Linked DNA regions of Alligator mississippiensis. The protein of the gene in region 2 purifies or fractionates together with the protein of the main gene of each other region. This does not show direct contact. Links are inferred from orthologs where the notes say so. Each region holds a gene or a part of one and is shown on either strand. Other genes may lie near its edges. The genes, in order: SNRNP70, GEMIN4 and DDX20.

What was found.
Region 1: the proteins of GEMIN4 (region 2) and SNRNP70 purify together in Homo sapiens (affinity purification with mass spectrometry; 5 studies listed by BioGRID and IntAct, counting the BioPlex papers as one, with this or other methods). This does not show direct contact. The link is inferred for Alligator mississippiensis from reciprocal best matches to the Homo sapiens genes GEMIN4 and SNRNP70.
Region 3: the proteins of GEMIN4 (region 2) and DDX20 purify together in Homo sapiens (co-immunoprecipitation; 7 studies listed by BioGRID and IntAct, counting the BioPlex papers as one, with this or other methods). This does not show direct contact. The link is inferred for Alligator mississippiensis from reciprocal best matches to the Homo sapiens genes GEMIN4 and DDX20.

The regions. Positions count from the first base shown.
Region 1 is NC_081828.1:39,884,513-39,888,254, forward strand, and holds the start of SNRNP70 (U1 small nuclear ribonucleoprotein 70 kDa), read right to left. Parts: upstream 2,230-3,742; 5' UTR 2,120-2,229; intron 1,817-2,119; 5' UTR 1,807-1,816; coding exon 1,660-1,806; intron 1,497-1,659; coding exon 1,434-1,496; intron 683-1,433; coding exon 628-682; intron 449-627; coding exon 384-448; intron 194-383; coding exon 131-193; intron 1-130. UniProt on the Homo sapiens protein: Component of the spliceosomal U1 snRNP, which is essential for recognition of the pre-mRNA 5' splice-site and the subsequent assembly of the spliceosome. SNRNP70 binds to the loop I region of U1-snRNA.
Region 2 is NC_081837.1:2,822,441-2,826,182, forward strand, and holds the start of GEMIN4 (gem-associated protein 4), read left to right. Parts: upstream 1-873; 5' UTR 874-940; coding exon 941-950; intron 951-1,200; exon of another isoform or gene 1,201-1,633; coding exon 1,634-3,742. Other genes in the region: acyl-CoA-binding protein, read right to left, coding at 94-357. UniProt on the Homo sapiens protein: The SMN complex catalyzes the assembly of small nuclear ribonucleoproteins (snRNPs), the building blocks of the spliceosome, and thereby plays an important role in the splicing of cellular pre-mRNAs.
Region 3 is NC_081837.1:44,046,463-44,050,204, forward strand, and holds the start of DDX20 (probable ATP-dependent RNA helicase DDX20), read left to right. Parts: upstream 1-1,087; 5' UTR 1,088-1,118; coding exon 1,119-1,302; intron 1,303-1,394; coding exon 1,395-1,489; intron 1,490-2,903; coding exon 2,904-3,072; intron 3,073-3,389; coding exon 3,390-3,504; intron 3,505-3,596; coding exon 3,597-3,739; intron 3,740-3,742.

The DNA.
Region 1 (3,742 bases), on a different chromosome or scaffold from region 2:
CATGCCCTGAAAGGGGGTTTGGATTCACACTAAGGGTGCAGAATTTGGCACTGTCTCCATGCCTGGGCTTTCCTTGCTGTGAAGAAGCTGAAACAGCTTCGTGGGCACGATGCAGAAGGTGGGTTCTTACCCGCTTGATAGGGCCATAGACTTCAAATTCTCTTCTCAGCTTGGATTCTGTTGTGTCGTAGTTCTACAGGGTTTAAAGGACAGGCTGGTGAGGATTCAGGAAGATCAGGGGGCAGGGGGAAGGGAAGAGGATAGGAACCCCGGAAAAGGATCCCCCCTGACCCTAATGGTAAAAACCAAGATTAGACGCAGGTAAGTAATATGGAAGCTGTTTCTACACAGTATAAGAGGCAAGGAGAAGGGGAGACACTTACTACTCTGGCCACAAATAGGGTCTTGAAGGCATCACCCTGTGCATTGGGGTCGTTGTGTGGGTCCCCTGGATGGGCAGAAAACAAGGATATGTATAAGAGGTGGGCAAAGAGAACCCCTCACCCCCACAGTCACTGGGTGGCCTCCCACCCAAGTCAGAAGTGGGATAAGTCACAGCTGAGGATGGGCAGAGGCTGCAGAGCTAGGTTAGATGAACCGGAGCAGGAACCTCACCCCCTCACTTACACATCTTCAGCTCACTCTCCACCTCTTGCTGCCTCCGCTCAATCTTCTCTCTTCTCTGCAGAAAGGAAAATGAACAGGTAACAGCTGGTAGCTTTCCCCAGGTCCAGAAAGTGCTGGAAACCCCTCCCAGGGGAACCGGTAATCCCAGGGGGTAACAGGGGAGGTGGTGGAGCTGCATCAGGTAACTACCTGGTTGCTATGGGACAGGCTTGGGGTTGTTTCCCCAGTTGCTATGGCTCAAGACTGGGGGCCTTGCCCTGACTACTATGGCCTAGGTCATGGGATCATCATTCTGGTTACTATGGCACAGATCACAAACCATGACTTTTAAAGATACCACTGTTTCACCCTCAACATGCTCTGAGGGGTTGTTATCTTCAACTTGTAGATGGGGCTACTGGGGACCTCACCTCCAAAGTAAGCCAAGGCCAAGGACAAAACTGTCACAAAATACAACCCACCAGTCCTGGCTCCTAGCTCCCCAACTCCACTCAATCCCATTCCTCTCCTCTCTAGGGACAGAACCCAGACATCCAGGTTCCCAGCTCTTTAACCCACTAGGCTAGAGCAGAAAAGAGAAATAGACCCAGAACATCTGGGTTCTTTTTCCTGTGCTGGAATCATTGGAGAAGAGAAACAACAGAGAATATTAGAGAGAATGCGGTAGTTAAGTTTCACCCAAACTTGCCCCTTTGCCACATAATACAGGGATGGCTTCTTAATGCCCCCAGCCCCTTTCTCCCACCACTGCTGGCTGTAACACCAGGGGGCACTGGGGTCCTCTGAAGCTGGCAGGGCAGTTGTACCTTCCGCTCCATCCGCTCTTCACGGGTCTCGGCACGGGTGGGTGGAGGGGCATCACGTGGGTCCTGGAAGAGAGAAAGCAGCATAGTGGCAGGGCACCAAGGAGACATAAGGGTAGCCTGAACTGGCAGAGGGCAAACTTGGTGGCTTCAGAGCAAAGAAACAGAGAGAGAGTCCAGCATTAGCCAGTCCAGGCTAGGCTGCTGGGTGGGAGCAGTGAGCACTCACCTCAAACTCCCGGATGTAAGGGGCAATGCCAGAGTAGGGCTGGTTGTGGTGTTTCTCATGGGGCAGCTTCTCCAGAGGGGGCAGATAAGGGATGGGGTCTCGGGGGGCAAAGAGTGCCAGCAAGTTGGGGGGGAGGAACTGCGTCATCGTGGGGAATCTGATGGGGAAACAGCAGACAATGACCCGTCAGGAGCCTGCATGGAGCGCTGCCCCCGCCATGAACCCTGTTGGGCTGCAGACCCTCTTCCCCCATGTCCCCCCCCACAACACCGCTGCTCCTCCTGCCTGCCCCAACCTCCTCTCCCAACTGGGCTCGAGCCCAGCCCGCCCCCTTCCCACCGAGCCCTCCTCCCTCCCCACACACCCACCCCAGTCCCCCTCCCAGACCCTGCCCCATACGCCACTCCCTTCTCCCCCAACCCCCCTGCTCCTTCCCGCCCTCCCTCCCTCATCCACCCACCGCCCGGGCCGCGCCGCGCTCAGCTCCTCCTGCTGCTGCCGTCGCCGCCTGCCGCGGGCCTACTCTTCCGCCGCTCTGCGCAGGCGCAACCCTCTCACCGCGCCGGATTTCTCCGCTGCCGGGCCTAGTCTCGGAGGCAGCGCGAGACTCGCGGTAAGTTCGCGAGTGTCAAAATCGAGGCTCTTCCGCGGTCGCCGTCGGAAAATAGTCCCGGATCACGGGGAGGGGGGAAGGGAAGGGCGGGAGGCGGAGCCACGTGACAGTACGGGGACCGCCCCAGGTCAGTGCCATGCAACCAGGGTGACGGCCCCAGACGTGTGCCATAGCAACCAGAACCATGACCCCTGACCTGGGCCCTAGCAACTCAGCCAGTGACCCCTTACCAGTGCCTTGGCAACCCGAACCATGACTCCAGACCTGTGCCATAGCAGCTAAGGCAATGACCCCTGACCTGTGCCTTAGCAACCAAAACCATGACCCCAACTCATGCCTTAACAACCAGAACCTGACCTGTGTCAAAGCAAATGAGGCAATGATCCCTGACCTGTGCCATAGCAACCAGAACCACAACCGCTGACCAGTCCCATACAAACAAGAATGACTCTGACCTAGGCCCTAGTAACCAGGACAAGGACTCCAGTGCCATGCCATTGCAACTGGAGAAACAACCCCAGGCCTGTGTCCTCGCAACCACACGATAACCCTGACCTATGCCACAGCAGCTGGGGATACCACCCCAGGCCTATGCTATAGCAACAGACATAAGCACCAAATTTTATTTTTTTGCCAGTGTGGGCCCTGAGATGATGGGCATGTGGAAAGTTTTATGCATTTCAGGTGACACCCCGCTTCACGTGGGGGGCCAGTGACCTTGGGCCCCCACGTACTTGGCTCCTCTGACAACAGAACAATGACTGCTGACCTGTGCCATAGTAATCACAACAATGACCCCTGACCCAGGTCTTAGAAACCAGGGCATTGAGTCCTGACACATGCCACGGAAACTGAAGAAATGGCCCCTGATCCAAGCCACAGCAACAAGGGCAATGGTCTGTGACTTGCGCCATAGCAAAAGCAGCAGTGCCACCTAACCCATGCCATAGTAACTGCAACAATAAGCTCTGACCCAGGCCATAGCAAGTATGGCAGTGAACTGTGACCCATGCTATAGTAACCAGGGCAAAGACCCTAGACCTCTGCCATACCAACTGGGACAACAATCCCTGACCATTTCCATAGCAACCAGAATGGTGACCCCTGATCCATGCCATAGCAACAGGGGAACAACCTCAGGTCTGTGCCATAGCAACTGGATAATGACCCCTGACTCGTGCCATAGTAACCAGAACAATCACACCTGACCTCTGCTATGTCAACCAGAGCATTGACTGCTGATCTGCTATAGTAACCACAAAGATTACCTCTGACCAATGCCATAGCAACTGGGACAATGATCCCTGACCTGTACCATAGCAGCCAGGGCTCAGAAAGCAGGGTGACAACCCCTAATTTATGCTATAGCAACCAGGGCAAAGACCTCTGACCCATGTCTTACAAATCGTTGAATCACAAGAGCCTCCATACCCCAGGCCTGCCCAGTGGTGCCCCTGGACCCATATGTCC
Region 2 (3,742 bases):
CCTGGTCAAAAGGAAGGGGAGGGCAAAGAGGAAGCATACGAGGGGACGAAGTGACCCATGCTGGGGGGACCAGACCCCAGCACGCGCTCTGATTTACGCGCCGTACTTGTTCTTGAGCTCTTGGACTCGGGTTATGTAATTCTTCCTGGCGTCTTCCTTGCTCATCCCTTTGCGCCCGTTCCAGGCCTCCCATTTGGCCTTGCCTTTGACATCCATCGCGCAGGGACAGGAGATGTTGACGTCGCCAATGGTGGCTTGTTTGTAGAGACTGTAAATCTCCAGCAGCTCTTGATCGGTGACCTTGATCTTCATCTGCAGGACCATAGCTGCCACCTTCTCAAACTCGGCTTGAGACATGGCGTCCGCTCAGGGCCGACCCTCCTCCTTCCCTTTTCTCCAGGCGCGGGGGACTGACCCGGGCTGCGACCACTGGAAGGAAATACAGTTGCCGTGAGCAGAAATACTTCACATGGCCTTACCGTTCAGCCTGAAATGAGAACGGCAGTTCTCTGGGACTTGGCCTCTCCTTCGTCCGGGGGAAGAGAGCCTGATCGGAGGGTTTGGGCACGGTGCCTGGGCTGAGAACAGGGCTGTAAAACCCTGGGACCGAAGCGTGCAGTCAGGGTGAAGCGTGCCACTGCCTCCCCCCAGGATCGGTGCCTGCCGCCCCCAGCCCCTAGCCCGTGGATGCCCCCTTCCTCCTCCTCCTCCTCCTCCGCTGCGGGCTCTGGGCAGGGGCAGAGGCCACTTCTGCACCCTCCAGCCCCTCCTGGGCTGGGGAATTACCGCGCTGCAGTGCTGCTGGGAGCCTCCAGGGGTCGCTGGCTCCGCGGGAGCCACTCGTGCCGCCGCGCGTCTCGCTGCTTCCGGTCTCGCTGCTTCCGGCCGCGGCGCCACGTGGGTGCGGGGGCGGCTGCATCACAGAGCGGCGCGGGGCGCCATGGAGCCGGGTGGGTGGCGCCGGCCGGGGGCTGGGGCTGCCGGGGAGCCCGGCCCCGGGTCCGAGCAGGGCGTGCCCTCTGCCCTGGGGCTGGGCTGGACAGGGAGGGACGGAAAGAGGGAGACCTCTGGCCTTGGCTGCCCTGCCCGGAGCTATCCCTCGTCTCCCTGCCCCGCGGCCGGGCCCTGCCCCTTGTCCCGGCCCCTGAGAGCAGCCCCCTCCCGCTTCTCCCCCGCAGACTAAAGCAGCCCCGACCCTACCGTGTCCCCAGCCCTTTTCATTGCAGCCTGCAGCGGGACACGACTGAGGTGTGGCCTGGGCAGCGCGGAATAGAAAGGGAGATTCGCTCCCCTAGGAACCTGCGCTAGCCGGCTCGGAAACGAGCTGTAAAAAGGGGCGTGGGGCCTTTTCCTTCGCACCTGCTGAGCATCCTTGTACCTCGGGCTGCTAGAGGCGGAGAGGGGCCCCGCTGCGCTGGCAGGGGCTGCGTACGCTCCACCCCAGAGGAGGCAGGTTGAGAGAGGGGTGTCTTGCTTAGCCCTGTTTTACGCACGCGGAGAGCAAAGACGCGCCACCCGTGGTGTGCAAGGAGTCCGGGCAGCAAACCCAGGCCCTCCCAGTGCCAGCCCCGTGCTCTCAGCCCTGGGGGCTCCTTCCTCTCCGCTCTAACATTGCGCATTGCCGTTTGAACAGGGCCCGTGAACATCTGTGAGGAAACCGCGGTGTTGCACGGCGGGTTCCTGCTGGCTGCGAAGCGCTATCACCCCAAGGCACTGGCGGATTTGGCCAAGGCTGACTGGCACCACGTCGGGCCACCCATCACCGATGCCTTGAAGGAGATCTGCGCTGGCCGCACCACCTCCCTGCCCCAGCCCCGCAGCTGGAAGAAGAAAGCCGTCATGATCATCTGGGCCAAAATCCTCCTGCCCAGCCCCGGGCCCGCCAAGGTTGACCAGAGGTGGAAAGATGACGCCTTCTTCTCGGTGTGCAGCATGATCCCCCGTCTCAACCGCACAGTTCTGTTTGAGCTGCTTAAAGCGCTGAATGCACCCCGGCTCTTTGTGCAGCTACTGCTGGCGCTGCCCGCGGGCATCTGTCAGCAGGAGCTCGAGCTGTTGGTTGAGTACGTTGTGAACGAGACGACCCCATCGGACTTGAGGTTTTTCTTGGACGTCTGGTGGGAAATCATGAAGCACAAGGAGGGGCAGCAGGACCAAATGATCGTGACATTCAGTGCCCTTATCCACCAGCACCTGTCTGAGCCACTGGATGAGGGCTGCCAGCCTCCGAAAAGGTTTAAAGGCGATCCCCTGTCCATGCGCGACTCCCCTCTTACCACCGAACTGCTCACAGTCCTGGTTGATGGGCTAAAGCATCTCTATGGATGTATTGTCACTCCCAGAATGAAATGCTACGCCCTGGCCAACCTGGTAGATCTGCTGTCGGTGTTCACTGTAGTAGAGCAGGAGTCCAGCGTGCTGCCCACCGTGGAGTATCTGGACAAGATCACGTCCGTAGTCATCCTCTGGAATGGTGACTGTGAGAGCCGCTACCACCCGCGGGGGCTGGAGGAGAAGGTGAAGGAGGCGGAGCGGAGCGTGAGCCTGCTGTCCGTGGTCAAGCTGTCCAGCGAAGAACTTTTTGTCGGCTTACGCTTCTTCCACAACCTGCTGCAGGGCTGGAGTGAAGAGCTGCATTGCATGCTGAACAGCCGCCAGGAGGTTTGCTACGAGGGCTACCGACTCCTCGACAGCCTTGCCACTTTCGGGAAGAACCTGCTGTGCTTTGCTGAGGCCAGGGAGCTGAGCAAGGATGAAAAGCAGGTGGTCCTGGAGCTGGCAGAGATCATCATGGGCTTCCTTAAGCAGATCAACCCTGACCTGCAGGGCAAGGACTCAGACAGCAGCATTATGGCCTCGGTGGCCATGACAATCATTGAGCAGAAGATGGACAGGCACCTGGAAATGTGCTCCATTTTTGCTTCTGAGAAGGCCTGGGCCTTCTCAAGGGACTGGGTCACCTGCCTCATCAAGAACAAAGTCCTCTTCCAGAAACCAGACCTGGTTTTGAAGCTGCTGGAGACCACGGTGACTTTCAGTCTCTCCTCCAGCAACCGAGAGAGCCAGGAACTGCAGGTCAAGGTAACCAAAACCATCCTGGAGTGCTACACTGAGCTGTCGCTGCCCGACAAGAACAAAGTGATCTCGGGCGTCCTGGACTCCTGGGGCGGGCGGGGCCTATCCTTGAGCTTGAAGGCTTTCACCGAGGGCTTCCAGGAGGAACTGAACTTGGCTTTTAACCAGATCACGCGAAGCGCGTCAGATCAGGGCCTGACCAAGGCTGTGGCCTCGGTGGCGAGGCTGGCTCTGCTCCATCCGGAGGCCACAGTGAAGAAGGTTTGCAACCTTGCAGTCGTCAACCTGGGGACACACCAGTTCCTGGCACAGATCCTGTGCTCGTTCCCAGCGCTGAGCTTCCAGGAAGCCCAGGAGGGCTTGGACAGGGGGGGCAGCCTGCTGGTGAGGTGCCTGAAGGAGACGGTGTGGGGGAAGCTGTCTACCGCAAAAGAGAAAGAGCAGTTCCTAGAGTTCTTGGCTGTTCTCCTGCAGCCAGGCTCAGCAAGTCCTCTCCTCTCTCCCGGTGAGGTGACCCAAGCCTTCGTCCTGCCCTACTTGAAATCAGACTGTGCCCACATTGAGCTAAGCCTGCACATCCTTAACAAGGTCCTGGGGCTACAGTCGGGGCAGGACGAACACTGGATAAAGACCTGCCACCCCTTCCCTCTCCTTCTTGGCCTTTGCA
Region 3 (3,742 bases), about 41 Mb from region 2:
CGATGAGGGCAGGATGGGGCGGCCGTCATAGAGGACGTTCCCGTTTCCCGCTACTCTGTCCTCGATTGATACGCGACCCGACGGCTTGATGTCTCTTCAAGAGAAAAAGAGAGGACAACAAGGCGTCCGGTTGCGTATCAATATTGGACCGAGGACAACCGGGCTGTCTTGCACGGCAGCATAGGGAGGTGGCCTAGCCATCAACGCCGACGGGGCCTGCGGGTGCTGAGGAAGGCGGTATAGCGTGTGGCGAGGACTTGTGCGGGGCGTCTGCCGCGGGGAGGGAAACAGGCACTTTTCTGGATACGAAGTACCCTCTTCAGGCCTGTTGTTAAGCGTGAGGGGCTCGTAGGAGAGCCCACGGCCGCCCGGCACCCTGCTCCGCTCCTCAGGGCAGCGCGGCGGGCGGCCGAGGCCTGCGGGAGCCGTGCAGCCAGGCGAGGCGGCCTCCCGCCAACCTGCCCCTGGGCCGTGGGACAGGCCAGCGGGCACGGCACCTCCCACGCTTGGAGCCTGGGGTCCCGCTGTGTGCGGCCGGACTCCTGCTTAGTCTGACACGGGACACGCGTGTGATAGTGGGCACGCATTGGCAACACGCTTAGTGCGAGGGTATTAGCGGCTCTTGGGCCCGCCAGCGTGTGTTTGACGTGGGACACGTGTGTGGGTACATCTGAAGGGAGCGGGCGTTACTGTGCGCTCTGGCAACTTGCTTCGCCTGAAAGCGTTGGTAGCTTGTGGGGCACGTGTGTGATAAATAAGCATGTGTGTGATAAATGAGCATGTGTGTGATGGCAAGCACATGTGTGATGGCGGGCACATGTGTGATAAGGGGCACAGCTGGGCACCCTCCCTCAGTGTCCCTGCTGGTTTCCCTCATCCCTCCCCCCTACAAAAGGCAGCAGTGGTTCGGGCCTGCCTCTTCCCTGCCCCCCCTTCAACCCCGTCATGGTTTCTTCCAACCGCCTCCGTCTCCAGAGGCTGCAGTGGTTCCTCCCTGCCCCCCGCGCGACACCACATGGTTCCTTCCACTATCCGTAGCCGCGCCAATAAAGTTCTTTCCCGGAAGTCCCGCGAGCTTTTGCTTGTTCTCGCGAGAGCGCATCCACGCGCATTCCAAGATGGCGGCGCCCGCTGTGGCGGTCTCTCGTTTTCGCACCCGCGATGTGCTGGTGCCCGGCGGCCCGGCCGACTTCGGCTCCCTGCTGCTGTCGGCCCCGGTGCTGGCGGGGCTGGAGGCCGCCGGCTTCCGCAGGCCGTCGCCGGTGCAGCTCAAGGCCATCCCGCTGGGCCGCTGCGGCCTGGGTGAGAGCGGGGGGGAGGGGAGGGTCAGTGATGGGGGCAGGGGAGTTGGAGGGTCAGGCAGATGCCTAATCTGTGCTCCCTTCCCCCACCAGATCTCATTGTCCAGGCAAAATCTGGCACCGGCAAAACCTGCGTGTTCTCGACAGTGGCCCTTGACTCCCTCGTGCTGGAGAACCCAGCCACCCAGGTGAGCCGGTCTGCGACATGCGTGCCCCAAGTGGCACAGGCAGCCTCTGCACGTGGCACCTGCCAAGTCAGGGAGGGGGCAGGGAGCAGACAGCAGAGCAGCAGATCAGGCAGGGGACCAGCGTAGCACTTGGGGAGGGCGAGGGGCTCGTTTGTGACACGCCTGCCAAAATTTCTTATTTCACACCATAACAAACATGTTGTCCTCACTTTAGTCGCGTGTGAGAGCTGCAGCAGCGCCTGACATCCTTCATCTGGCAGGCGAGGTTATTTGAGTCGACGCGATATCTTTTATGAGACCAATCGAGAAGTTGGACAAAAGTTTTTAGCGAGCTTTCGGGCGCTCTCGTGCTTCGTCAGGCAATGGGAGTCTTTGCTGTTCTGAGACGGCAAGGAACGAGAGAAGCTAAAAGTGTGGCAGGATGCGAGTGACAATGGAAATAGGTAGAAATTAGGATAACGGAAGGTAAAATAGAGAAGGGAGGGGTGAGAAAAGCCGGGGGAAAGAAAGCCGAGGGTGATCAAGGGAGACTCTACAGAGGTAGTAATTGAAGGTGGAAAAGAAGTGGCCTGTGGAAAAGGAAATGGCTGGAAATTAGGAAGACAGAGGGCAGAAAAGTGGTGGGGGTGGGGAGGAGGGAGAAGAGCAATGTAAAAGGGAGGTCTGGCAGGTCAGGTACCTGGTGAATCGGATGTCAGGCAAGTTGTAATGTTATAAATCCATTGTCTGTATTGAGTCCATGATCATCCCCTCGGTGCATTTTGTTGTGTTTAATTGAATAATTGAAGGTAAAAGAGGGCGAAGGGAAAGCAGCTGTCCAAGGGCTGCTAGAAGCCTTGCAAGTGATGGAAAGAAATGAATAAAGCTCGTGTGTTGTGTATCGTGCTTGAGCCTCAGTGTGCGAGTCTCAGAAGCTCCCTGTGAGTGTACTGCTCTGGAGCTGTTAGTTTAATTTGGTGTCTACACTAGGAGCGGGCTGCTTGATGAACTAAAATGAAACAAGTTGGGGTGGAGGAGGACAGTATAAAGAAGATGTCATGCTTTTGGCAATTTTTAAAGTTTACAAATCCAATGTTATGAATTACAGTAAAAAGTACCATGCCAGGTTGAGACCTTTAGTTCAGGTAACTTCTGCTTGTTTCTCACATAAACATATTGTGGGCTGTGATGTTGCATCCTGCCCATAAAATGCCAGTCTGCTCTAGGAGAGAGATCCCCAAGGGGCTAGGGGAGGGGTAGAGCAAATTCAGTCTCCTTTTTACTGAACAAGTGCTATCTAGACTTACACTTGCAAAGGCTTTAGGCTGGCTATAAGACAACATCAGTCACTAAATCAGTAGTTTCAAGATGAAAGACTGTTTTAACCCTCTAAGCCATTGGTTTGGTCTTAAAGCCAAATTCGTCATCATTTCAGATACTCATCTTAGCACCCACGAGAGAGATTGCTGTGCAGATTCATGCTGTTATTTCAACTATTGGAATAAAAATGGAGGGCCTGGAATGTCACGTCTTCATTGGAGGCACCCCTTTAAACCAAGATAAAATCAGACTAAAAAAGTGCCACATAGCTGTTGGGTCCCCAGGTAAGAACCCACTTCAGCGTACTTTGGTAGAAACCAATGAGACACTTTCTGTAGTACAGTAATTGGCACACTTGAAATCTTGATTCTTGTCCCATAGTCATAGGGGACAGTTTCAGACCTCAAAGTTAAAGAAAATTAGACCAGAGAAGTATTTATAGTTTATAGATTATTCTAAATATGCTTTTTTAAAGAAAGGTTTGTTAAGGAAGTGGGTTAGATAGCAAGTTTTAGATTTGCGGTTGGTATAATTTCTTGTCTCGTCGTTAGATTCTTTCCGTAAATATTTGTGAAACTCAAGCGACTCTTCTTTGATGTAGGTCGAATAAAGCAACTTATAGAGCTGGACTATCTGAACACTGCTAGCATCCGCCTTTTTATCCTTGACGAAGCAGACAAGCTTTTGGAAGAAGGCAGCTTCCAGGAGCAAGTCAAGTAATAAACTGAGTTTCTCTCATACCTTAAAAATCTCTCTGCTCTAAAACACCTTATCTGAAGCATTCCCTTTCAATGTCTTTCTCCCTCAGCTGGATTTATTCTTCTTTGCCAGCCAACAAACAGATGCTCGCTGTTTCAGCTACCTACCCAGATTCGCTGGCAAATGCTTTGACCAGATACATGAGAGAGCCTACCTTTGTGAGGCTGAACCCCACTGATCCAAGTCTCATTGGTA